Linked DNA regions of Canis lupus familiaris. The protein of the gene in region 3 interacts with the protein of the main gene of each other region in a pairwise test. Links are inferred from orthologs where the notes say so. Each region holds a gene or a part of one and is shown on either strand. Other genes may lie near its edges. The genes, in order: KCTD9, ZBTB43 and SYT6.

Region 1 (4,244 bases), on a different chromosome or scaffold from region 3:
AAATGATTTTAGATTTCTAAGTAAAAATATAAAAAGTGTATTTCTTCTTAAACTCTACTGGGTCCTCTTGCACACCCTCTGTGGTGTACTATTGCACCATGGAAAGCACGGGTTTAGAAAATGCACAGCCCTCTCTACAACACCGAAGCATGCACTAGTTACACTTATGTTTATTCAGTATACAGAAAAGTCACGGAAAGCATATGATGTAGTTCCCTGCAGTATCTCTGTGTCTCTCCAAGCCCAGGCTTTATGGCCCAGTCTGGCAACCACTGAAGAAGCATTACAGGAGGGAAACCTATTTGACAAAACGGATACTCATCTTTTGACGAAGAAGAAAAATCAGAAGCTTGGTCAAGAAGGGATAATGGAAGTGACAGATATCCCAATATCAAACTCTAATGGTAGTGCTCTGTTTCAGCATATTTTTCATGAACGTCATGTCATGATCATGCCAATTCTGGCTTAGTCATGTTATTTATACAAACATGTAACCTGTTATGTATTATTCTGGACTCTTGTCACACAAGAGTAATTAGAGTACATATATATATTTTTTAATCAGCTGGAAAGAGAGGAAAGGAAACAGAACTTTGGCATAGAGTATGTTTTCTGAGTAGTAAGAATTATAGTATGACTTGTTTTTACTATTATTGAATCATACTAGTAATTTTCCAGCTTGGATTTTTTTTTTTTTAAGATTTTATTTATTCATGAGAGACACAGAGAGAGAAACAGAGGCAGAGACATAGGCAGAGAGAGAAGCAGGCTCCATGCAGGGAGCCCGACATGGGACTCGATCCTGGGTCTCCAGGATCAGGCCCTGGGCTGAAGGCTGCGCTAAACCATTGAGCTACCAGGGCTGCCCCAGCTTGGATCTTCATATGATCTTTACTACTAGTATAAACATATTTATCTTTATTTACTTGCGATGTAATTTTCCCAATCTTTTGAGATTCCCTAGAAATTATTTTTAAAACAAGTACAACTTATTTTTTTTTAAACAAGTACAATTTTATTTAAAAAACGGCTAACCTAACCTAGTCAAGACCAGATACTTTAAAAAATATATATATGGTAAGACTAACACAGCCAAGCTTTGAAAGAACAAAATTCAGTGGTTTTAGAGGAGATTTAGCGCATAGTCAAATATCTATGACTTAGTCCAAACATCTTGTTTTTAGAGAGGAACAAAGAGATGCTGGATAAAAATGTCAAAGGTCTGTTTTTGAGAACATATTACAACCGTCTGGATATACGAAGTTTTTTTTTGTTTTTCTCCCAGTACCAATATAAGTTTTAGATTATTAGCAGCTAACGAAACAGGTTTAGAAAACGCTGATGTCAGAAGTCAGTCTTGAGAAGTCTATTTTGAAGTAACATTTATGAAAACTCAAGAACTTGAATACACGCCAGTCGTTCGTAAGGTTATTAGATCTCCACACTCAGAAACATCAGAAAATTATAGTCAACACACTAGACCGTGGTTCAAATTTTTGGAGCAGATTTATTTAAAATCTCAGAGTAGCTGGAGAGCCTTTTTTTTTTTTTTTTTCTAAAATAATGGGGCACAATTACACTATTTAAAGACGTACTGTTTCCAAACTATGCGGGAAATAAAGTACTGTATTCTGGCCAATACTCCAGTGAGGCCAATTTACCTTCACCTTAGCCTGTAAGGCACAGTCCTTTGTAGATGTCATTTAGCCACATCATAAATGTCTGCTTTGGACAGTCAAATTTTCCAAAGGGAGCCGAACTTTCATGGGTGGGGCAAGAGACTCGAGAAGGAACAGGATTCGTTTTGGCTGGCTTCAGCCTTGGAGGGGGGGGGGCGGGCAAATATTTGGTACCACACCCTCAACAAAGGCCTAACACAGCAACGAGTCGTGTCCAATCAACCCACTTCTGGTCTACTTACTGTGACAATCCCTAGAGAACTATAAAAAAAAAAAAAAAAAAAAAAAAAAAAAAAAAAACGAGGCGAAATAGAAAAGTGAGCACGTTAAGTTTGGCGGCGGCGGGGCTGAGGGCGCCCAGAGGACGGAGGTGGGAACACCGTCAAGGAAACGTCCCTCATCCTCATTCTGCTATTGCACCTAGGGTAGAAGAATACCGTGCCCCCCCCCCCCCCCCCCCAAATAAAGCCTCCTCCTTCTACCTTCCGCGTCTGCCTCGGTCGCTCACCTCTCACTTTCTGGAGCAGAGCATTACTCAGCACGAAGGTGGCAGCGAGCGGGCGCCCTCCTGGAGCCGGGGGCGGGCGGGGGCGGCGGGGTCGCCGGGGGTCGCCGGGGGCGAGGCGCCAAGGGGGGCGGCGGCCCGCCCCCGCCCCCGCGCTGCAGGACGCGCACCTGGACGTGGGAGCCGCTCGGCACGAGCTGACCCGCCGCGGCCCCGGGGGCGGCGGGGGCGGCGGCGGGGGCGCCGAGGGGCGGGCTGGGGCCGGCAGCCCCGCGGGCGGGGAGGAGGCCGCGCGGACCCGCCGCTCCCGTCGCGGGCGCCCCCCGCCGCGGCGCACGCCCACCGCCCAGCCCCTCTCCCCAACTTCAGCCTCTGCCCCGCCGGCCCGCCCGGGCTGCGCCGCCCTCTCCCGGGGCAGGCGGCCCGCCTCCTCCCGACCCCCTTACCTTTCCATTCTTGGGGCTGCCGTTTAGGAACAGGGTCACCCGCCTCATCGCGCTGCCCCCACTGGGTCCTGAGTGAGTCGCCGCCACCCTCCCACCTGGCTCTCCTCCCACCTTCTTCTTCTCCCGCCCTTCCCCTCCCTCCACCCACGCGGACTCTCCTCCCTTCGCCACCTTCCTTCTCTTAGGGAGACACACTAGCACGCACTCCCGGTCCCACACCCCTGGCTCGGCCGGTCCTCCTTCCCACCCCGCCCCTGGGCTGCTCAGCCAGCCTGGGACCCTTCCCCCACCTCTCCCGGACTGACTCTAAGCTCCACCAATCAAGCGGCAGCTCCGGCCAGGACTCAGCCAATCACCGCCCTGCATTGGGTGGGCTCATCCTAACCCAGCCCAGGTGGAGGGAGGGAAGAGAGGTTGCTGCCTCGCAGACGGGAAGGGTTATCAGCCAATCAGCACAACCTGCAGCCGAGCGGCGCCTCGAGGCGTTACTGAGCACGCGCAAACCCAACGCCAGGTAGCGCTCATCTGCATAGGGGGCGGGGCTGGGGGGAAAGAGGTGGAGCGCGGGCGGGGACGCACACGAGTCGCGGTGGCCGCTTCCCACTCTCGGGAACCGCGGACGAAACGGCTGCCGTCGGGACTGGCTGATTGGGCAAGAGCCCGCCCATCGTTCTGCCAGGATTGGCCCAATGATTCTTTTCGAAGTTCGCAGCGTCCAATTGAAAAGCGGGGGGGGCGGGGCTAAAGGCCTAACCGAAGGGTGCCTCCGCGAGACTCTCACGGGAAGTAGTCCCCCGGGTGCGGGGGAGCAGTCGCGGCTCTGCGGTCGGTGCGACCCCCCGCAGCTAGCGGGGGCCTCTCTGGAGCTCACGAAGCCCCTCCGGGTGCCGGGGCGACGAGGTAGAGGCCCGGGAGAGTGCGGGGTGCGCGTGGACACGTGTGAACAGAGGCGGCGTAGAGATCCGCTGGGGGCAACGCCGGGGCCAGGGGGCGGGGCTGGCGATTTGAATCTGGCGGCGGGCGGCGAAGGCGGCGGCGGCGACGGCGAAGGTCGGGAGCGGGCGGCGGGGGTCGGGGGGTCGGGGTTCCCCGGGCCTGACGAGGCAGCCTCTGGCGTCCGGGAGTCGCCTTCTCGAGCGACCCGTCAGCGGCTGCTCGACACTCAGCCTGCGGTGGAGCGTTGCGGATAAGCCCGGTGGGAGCAGGGCCGGGCTGCGGGAGTGAGAGGTAGGGCGGCCCGGAGGGCGTTTCTCCGGAGCGTGGTCTTCCTCACTCGGCTCCTCTTGCGGCCTGAGCCCGGTCCCCCGCGTGCTTTCTAAAGTGCACATCGCCTGGAGCCCGGCCAGACCTACTCCGTGGGAATCCGCAAAGCTGGGCCTTTAACAGAATCCCTAGACGATGCAGATGCTCGCCAAGGCTGAAAAGCCATGACTTCTAGTGTGGGGTCTGCTTTGTTTGATCCCCAACAGCAGTTTCCTCCATTTCTCTCTCTCTCTCTCTTTTTTTTTTTAAGTTCTCAAGACACCCTCTCGACGTCTCTTCTCATGCCTATATAGGTTGTGTTAGGATTTAGTCTTGATCGAATCACGTTAATGTCGGAATGGGGTTATTTCT
Region 2 (4,278 bases), on a different chromosome or scaffold from region 3:
AGTGCCTGCCTTTGGCCCAGGGTGCGATCCTGTGGTCCCGGATCAAGTCCCGCGTCGGGCTCCCGGCATGGAGCCTGCTTCTCCCTCTGCCTGTGTCCCTGCCTCTCTCTCTCTCTCTCTCTCTCTCTCTGTGTGACTATCATAAAAAAAAAAAAAGGGAAAAAATAAAAGTTCATAAAAACGTAGAGTACATTCGACTGATTTTAAGAGGCATATTTCAAAATTTCTGCAATCAGGATATGATGGCCAAGTGGAAATTTTAATGCTTGTCACTGCCTGAGACAATGATAGAGCATTCCTGAGAGCCACATCAGTGTTTCTGAAGGCACAAAAGAGGACACTGGAAAAGTATGGACCCAACTCTGAACTGAGAAGTATTCAAAAAGAGTAGGAATGTTAAAAATTTAACAAACACTTTAGCCAATTTATTTCACTTATTTTTCTTTTTATTTAGCATTAGAATGATGTCATTTAAAAATGTCTAAATAAGTCTAAAAATATTTTCTCACTAAGAATTTTTATAAGCCTAAATGATTAAAAAAGCACATGTCATAGCTAAATTGACGGTGTTTTTTTCTCCTTTGGTGGTACAGAAAACAATCAATGGTATTAGGATTCAATACAGTATTAATTCAGCTGCAATATCTCACAAGAAAGCTTGAAAAACTACCATACTGGCAACCTGATAGCTTAAATAAGAGAACGTAACATAAAGGCCTCCCCCATCAGAAAACACACAGGAAATGACACATAATTTTGCATTATCATAATAACAGGGCTATTTTTCCAACCCTAAAGTTTTCTTTATGTAAAAAGTAAAATCTTTCCTCAAATTTCCCATGGGTCTGCAGCAGATGCCTACACTGAATCCAAGAACATGGAGGGAGAAGAGCCAGGGCAGGAATTTGCCACAAGTAGAAAGCTTAAGGGAAGATTTTAAGCAAATTCTTTTAACTGAACTCCTTTTCTGAGGACATTAGCTATGACAAAAGCAGGTATCAACAAACGTAGGTTCAACTAAATATTCCAAAGACACACAAAATAAATTTTTAAAATCACATTTTCAAAGAGCTGCTTAGTTCCAAGCTTCTCCAAAGAGCAGTTTGGGTTGTTTGGTTGTTTGGTTTTATTCTGTACTGTGGTAAAATACACTTCACATAAAATTTGCCATTTTAAAGTGTACAATTAGTGGCATTAAGCACATTCACAGCATTGTGCAACCATCACCACTATCCATTTCCAGAACTGTTTTCATCATCCCAAACTAAAACTCTGTATTCGTTAAACAATAATGCTCCATCTCTTCCTGTCAGGCCCTGATAAGCTATATTCTACGTACGTCCCTATGAATTTGCCTATTTTAGATACCTCACATGAGTGGCCTCATAAGATATTTGTTCTTTTGTGTCTGGTTTACTTCTCCGGTGAGTACTTTAGTAAAGAAAAGAATGAATCCCAAATTATTAGGTTTCTTATCATTTAACTGTAGATACTGACACAATCTCTGAACTATGCATACAGCTTTCTCAGAAATCCTGCTATTCCATGAGCCCCATGAGGCAGAGAATCTTAGACTGACTATTCCTTAGCCTGTGGACAGGTCTAGTTCAGCAGCTGTAACGCAAAGAGCAGGCTCTTGAGAGCCCCGGAGGCCATCCTGGGGTAAGGGGCTGGAGCAAAGGGAAGTGGAGGGTTGTGCAGGCCAGAAAGCCATGCATAAAAAAAAAAAAAAAAGACAAGTATGTATCAAGATACTCTGGCCCTGAGATGGTCTCTGGTTTGTCTCCCACGAGGCGTTCCTGCACCGGCACACTTGGGCTGGGCGGCACCTGTCAGAGTTGAGGCCAGACTGCAGTGTAGTCACTGAGACTGTCACCAGTTGCAGGAAGCTTCACGGGGTCATGAGTCATTTTGCATGGCTCAGAGGTCCGGGCAAGCCTGCCCTGCTCCGCCCAGACAAACCTAGTTAGGAGACGCACAAACAAGAGAGAAAGACACAAAACTGGCAGAAACACAGACGGCCAAAGAGCAAGGCTGACAGGCAGGCAGGCAGGCCATGAATGAGAGTGAGGACTGAGAGGGAAACACAGGGTCAAGAGTCACATAAGCAAAGTAGAGACAGAAGAAGAAAAAAAAAAAAGGGGGGGGGGTGCAGATAGAGATGTGTGCTCAGCAAGAGAAACTGGGGAGAAATACAAAGTCGATAGTGGCGGAGTTCAGAGGCAGAAAGGGCAGGTGACAACAGGTGACAGAGACGTCAACAGAGGGGAAACACTACTTAGAAGCAAACGGAGGCAGGCACCAGCCAAGGCCGGGTGCTGCCTGTCTCCCGGCTTCGGCTCAAACCCGAGGCCGCCTCGCCGCACCCACACGGCGCCCCCGAAAGGCCGGCGGACGTTCCCAGGCGGGATCTCTAAGCGCTCCGGCCCGCCGAGGTCCGCCGCCGCGGGGTGACCTTGGGCGAGACGCTGCTTCGGGGGCCTTGGGTGTCGCGGCCCGCGCACCGGGCTGGCTGGAGGCCGCAGGAGTCGGCCTCGGGCGCGGGGACTCCAACCGCCCGAGCGCGGCTTCTTGAGCATCCCGGTCTGCGGAACGGGCCTGCCGGGCCGGGGGGCGCGCGCGCGCCGGGACCTGCGGAGGAAGCCCTTAAACCTCCCCGGCTGCCCTCCCTGTCCCCTCGCTACCTGTCGTCCCGACTTCGCCGTACCTGCTAAGGGCTCCGCGTTCACATAACCCGCCCGCGGGACACTTTCCGCCGCCAGCGACAGGCCCGTTCAAGCCGTAGCCGCCGCGACCGCCTCAGCCTGCACCTCCCGCCCCCGGAAACGCTTCCCGGTTCCGCCCCCGAAACTGCCAGTGCTTCCGGGGGTGCGTCAGAGAGAAAACGCTGTGCGCATGCGGGACTCTCCTGCGGGGCGGGGCGTGAGGGGAGCGCGCTGCTGCCGCCCTACTCCTGCGCAGTGCAACCTGGCGCGGGTCAGTTGTCTTCAGGGACTCCGGGTGAGGCCGGTGCTGGGAATGAGGGAGCTGACACCGAGTCCTAACCCCTTTTCAGACTTGATCTCTCTCATGCTGCCTAGCAGAGGCCGTGTCGAATCCATTTTTGTCTCCGAGGGCCTTTGGCACGTAGTGGATGCTCAGGGAATGTACAAGGACAGGAACAGTTCCATCTGTGCCAGGCGCTGTGCTGGGTCCCTCTAAGAAAAACCTCATTTTGTTCAGGTCCCAGAAGAGACCCTTTGATCTCAGGGGAGGTAGATCTTCACTGCTACTAGGAGGAATGCCTCATGGTTAGTCCAAACTATTCACAGTAATCTCATGAGCCAAGTGGTTAGACAAAGCATAGTCATGTGACCAACTCCTAGCCCATAATACTTTTTTATTTTTATTTTTTTTCTAGCCCATAATACTTAAAAAAAAAAAAGAAAAGAAAAAACAAACAAAAACAAAAAAACAAAAAAAGAAAAGAAAAGAAAGTCCAGTAGGACTTCTAGTTGAGTATGCTCAAGTGCTTTGCCACTTTTATTCTCTTCCTTCCCCTAAGCAGACTTGAAGGTTGGAAGTTCAGTCCCCATCACGTGCCTATGATGGGACAAGCAAATGCTAAGGTTGGCAAAATGGAAAGATTGAAAGAGCCTAGGTCTCATGTGACATTAAACTACAGTTCTAGCTTACCTCTGGATATTTTATTACATGTGCCTAACATTTCTTACTCAGATTTTTTTTTTTTAATTTTATCCATTTATTCATGAGAGGCAGAGAGAGAGAGAGAAAGGCAGAGACAGGCAGAGGAAGGAGCAGACCCCCTGCAAGGAGCCCAATGTGGGACTCCATCCTGGATCCTGGGATCACGCCCTGAGCCGAAGGCAGACGCTCAACCGTTGAGTCACCCAGGCGTCCCTCAGACTTTATTTCTAACGAAACCGAGGACTCTTCAAATATGACAGCAACAAAATATATTAAAATAAGAGGAGAGATATTGAAAGCACCCTTTTCAATACGTAGATAAACTTGTGAGGAAATCAGGAAAAATCATCTGAGGCCAGGAAGAAAGCAGAAACGCAAGCCTAGGAAGTTAGAGTTGAAGTTGAGAAGTTATCCAGGGATACAGTCTGCCTCTGTTCTGATTGCTTAGGGTGTGTGCTATGCTGATAAGTATTTTGAAAATCATCTTTGGAGATAGGTAAACAATGATGTTACTACTAGCTATAGGAACACCTACCTAGGTCCAGGCAGGATGAGAGCCGAATTGGAACATCAGGTTGGGACCCAAAAGGG
Region 3 (3,634 bases):
CCTGCCTTGCCAGGAGAGAGGATTTGGGTAAGTGGAAGAGAAGAAAGACATCCAAGGGAGGGGAAATTAATTTGGATAATTATGCTGGGTCCAGATTCTAGGAGGCCTTGAGGAACCAGGAGAAGGGCCTGGGTAATGGGAACCAGTGATGGTTCTTGAGAAGGGCAGGTCCCAGAAAAAAGTGGTCTTTGAGGAAGGTGTGCCTTTCATGTGTTGGCTGGCTCGAGTCAGGGAGTGATGAAGGCAGGGGTCAGCTGGGAGGCTACACGGCCATCCCTGAGTGGGAATGGTAACAGCCTCAGAAATGGAGAGGATCCATGATGGGACTTGCAGCTAGAGGGAGGAATAGGACCCAGCAGGGGTGAATTCAGGGACACTGATGGGTGGGTTGGTCCCTGATGGAAATGTGCCTCCTGGAAAGCAAAACTTGAGCTTCTGCTCAGGGGAATCTATTCTCTTCCTCATACTTCGGCACTCTTCCTGAGTGGAGCCAGATTTGAGGCCAATGGGCTCCCGGGCCCTGAATCACAAGATCTGAGGTCAGGAAGCCCATCCTGCATTGACATGGGAGGTGAGATGCAGGGAATTGTGGCCCTCTGGGCCCCACACCTACCGATCATAATCCATGACGGAGATGAGCAGGCTGACTTGATCCATGTTCTCTGGGGGAATATCAAAGATGATGGCTTCATTGTAGACAGGATTAAGAGTGTTCTTCTTGATGGTTGTTTTTTTCTTTTTCAGTCTCCGCCCATCACAAAGCAGGGACACTTTGACATATGGATCTGTGCCAGTGGGGGTGATGGGAAGGGAAGGGAGCATGTTAACCAGATGTCCTTAAACATCATTTGCAACAGAGGGATGGAAGCCACAGACCTATTGTAGCTCATCCGATGGTATCGGTGGGTTGTTAAGATAATTAAACCACCTTGTATTTATGTAGCACACCTGTCTCTGAGGACACCTCGTGCTTAATAAACACAGAGTCTTTAGCGACCTCAGGATTATTGGGAGAGTGCCTAATGGACTTGCATTAATGGCCTCAAGTCAGACAGGACACCTGCCCATAGGTATGCGGTTCATGGCCCTAAATCCCCACTCCATGACAGCTGGCTGGCTCCAAAGGGTGATGAAGCTGAACAAGTCACACTCTTCCTTTCACCTACTTGGAGGCCTTTTCTCTGGGGGTTTGTCATCATTATTAACCAAAGGATAAGGGGGGTAAAAATAGAAGCCCATGACACCCAAGGAGTAGCAGTGTGTCAGAGTAAATGAACAGCGACAATCACAGCACTGTTCATGTCCTCCCTACCTGACAACGGGATTATGGGTCTCATTGTCCCAACAAGCTCATTTCCAGCTGGCATCAAGAAGAGCCCTGCTCTCTCCTTCCCCGGAAGCTATTTCCTGCCCACTTCTGGGCAAAGGAGGAGGAGGGAGCTATGGTGGGGGCCGTGAGTAAGGCGGCTTCTGAGATTCAGGGCAGCCGGCTGACATTTCATTTCTCAGTGGGATCTTGGATCCTCTCCATCCCCAGAGGAGATGTCTTTTTACTGAACTTCCACGTGTCTCCCATCCCTGTCTCTTCTTTAGTTTTCTGAATAGGTATTTTGTGGTCATCCTTCTACCCTGAAATTTTCCACTCATCCAAGTGAAGTGACATCCATTGTATCTCATAGCACAGGTGTCTTAGACACCATCATAATTGTTATTTATGCTGCATAGCTGAAGAAATGGGAGGGCGACTTGCAGGTAATAACAGCTTTTGAGACACTGATGTACAGAGATACCTGCTTGCCCAAAAGCCAGGGTTCACAGGATCTGTTAGGAGGCGGGGGCCGAGCGGCCGCTGCCTGACGCCTTGATGCACAGGCATGTGGTTCTATCTCCTGAGCACCTGAGCACCCATCAGGCCCTTATACTCCCTGAGCATCGATCAGGTGGCAGCTGAGGCACCCAGCTATGGGGAAGCTAGGGAGGACTCCGACACGTGATCAGAAACTCCAAGCCTTGAAGGCATTTCTGCAGACTCTCAAAGGAGCTGCCGACTAACTAATGTGACAGACAGGGCAGCTATGCCTTAACCACAGGGGCACTTGGGTTTACGAGGGACCTGGGGAGACCGTGATTAAACAGCAGGTGTTTCATCAACCTGCTGTCTCCAACGACCCATTTGGAAGGGCCCTTTCTCGGAGGTGTTTTCAGTAAAAAGGAAGGCAGAGTTCCTAGAACCTCTGTGAGGCAACTTCTCTGGTTGTCTGTGGGCTCCCTTCTCTATGGATATGCCCAGGGCAGGGTTCAAGTCCAAGCAGTCAGATGGGTAAAGCTTACTCCAAGACCCATCACTAACACAGCCACTTCTCCATAAGGTGTACACTGCCCTGGAAAGTGCCTTCGGACTTGTGGCTGCTCAAGTGCTGCCCCATTGCCTGCCATGCCCATCTCCATGCACTTTCACAGCACAGCAGAGTCCCATGTCACTAGGCTTGGAAAAATATGGCAGAGCCAATTGTCCCGGAGGCCACTAGGCAAATGCCTTGTTACTGACTGGGAAATTCTCAGCTTCCTTCTCCAACTCTGTTTACTCCTACGAGGCATATCCATTTATAAAATTCAGTGGGTGTATCTCCCTTGAAGAAACCATCCATCTTGTGATTGTCCAAGAGGCAAAGCAGAGAGATGCCTATTCCTTAGGATTCTCTAGAGCAAAAAGTTGGTGGCTTCCAGTGGGATGCTGGCTCTACGTGACCTTGGAGGTTGTTTCCTCTCTAACAGCCTATGATGTTCTAGGTAGCTGAGAGAGGGAGCATAAAGGCAGGTGGTGCATTTCAGCCCCATTGCCATGAGAGCCATCATAGCCCAGCATTTAGTATGTGTCGGGCATTGTGTTGAGATTTATATACATTGTGTCATTTAAACTTCCCACCAATGCTGTAAAATATCTATCATCATCATCATCATCCCCTTTTATAGGTAGGGAAATTGAGGCTGGAGAGATTCAGGAACTTGCTTCAGATTTGAACCTAGGTCTTTCTGACTCCAAAATTTACATTTTAAACCACTAGACTCAAATCAGTACAGACCAGATGTGGTGGAGATGGGTGGTTTTACTTACTCACCACCCTTGTTGTGTCCTGATCCTTCTGATTATTTTGTGTTATGTCATCGTTCCAGTGGATGGGCTTAAAGAATTGATGCATGACTAGTTAAATTGAGGAGAATAGGAAGACCCTCGGGTTTGGGGGGTCAATGTTATAGAAATCAAGAAGAGGCAACAAGCTCCATTCACTCCCTACTTTGGCCTAATATCCAAGCAGTCTGGGCTGAAGGCAACCTCAAACTCATCCTCACAAACAGGAGATCTAGTTTGAGAGGCCCCTAGCACACATGCCCCCACTGTTTCGCCCTCTGACAAGGCTCCTCATGCTGTCAATTCATTCATCCATTCATTCAAAACATATTTATTCAATGCATATTGTGCTGCATGCACTATTCCAGATATTTGCTTAGATCTGTGGACCAAACAGAAATCCCCAACAAAAAGAGGACCCCTGAATTTCCAGAATCAAGTGGAGATTTAATAGTAGATTCCAAACCCAGGTAGAAAAGAGGGTCAATTGCAAGAGGGAGATTA

What was found.
Region 1: the proteins of SYT6 (region 3) and KCTD9 interact in binary tests that used the Homo sapiens proteins (3 or more experiments, as listed by UniProt). The two-hybrid records come from large-scale screens. The link is inferred for Canis lupus familiaris from reciprocal best matches to the Homo sapiens genes SYT6 and KCTD9.
Region 2: the proteins of SYT6 (region 3) and ZBTB43 interact in binary tests that used the Homo sapiens proteins (3 or more experiments, as listed by UniProt). The two-hybrid records come from large-scale screens. The link is inferred for Canis lupus familiaris from reciprocal best matches to the Homo sapiens genes SYT6 and ZBTB43.

Annotation. Positions count from the first base shown.
Region 1 is NC_049246.1:32,166,216-32,170,459, reverse strand, and holds the start of KCTD9 (BTB/POZ domain-containing protein KCTD9), read right to left. Parts: upstream 2,828-4,244; 5' UTR 2,679-2,827; coding exon 2,631-2,678; intron 2,259-2,630; exon of another isoform or gene 2,188-2,258; intron 1,941-2,187; exon of another isoform or gene 1,539-1,940; intron 1-1,538. UniProt on the Homo sapiens protein: Substrate-specific adapter of a BCR (BTB-CUL3-RBX1) E3 ubiquitin-protein ligase complex, which mediates the ubiquitination of target proteins, leading to their degradation by the proteasome.
Region 2 is NC_049230.1:56,548,352-56,552,629, forward strand, and holds the start of ZBTB43 (zinc finger and BTB domain-containing protein 43), read right to left. Parts: upstream 2,867-4,278; 5' UTR 2,708-2,866; exon of another isoform or gene 2,685-2,707; intron 2,365-2,684; exon of another isoform or gene 1,756-2,364; intron 1-1,755. UniProt on the Homo sapiens protein: May be involved in transcriptional regulation.
Region 3 is NC_049238.1:52,397,858-52,401,491, forward strand, and holds part of SYT6 (synaptotagmin-6), read right to left. Parts: intron 786-3,634; coding exon 614-785; intron 1-613.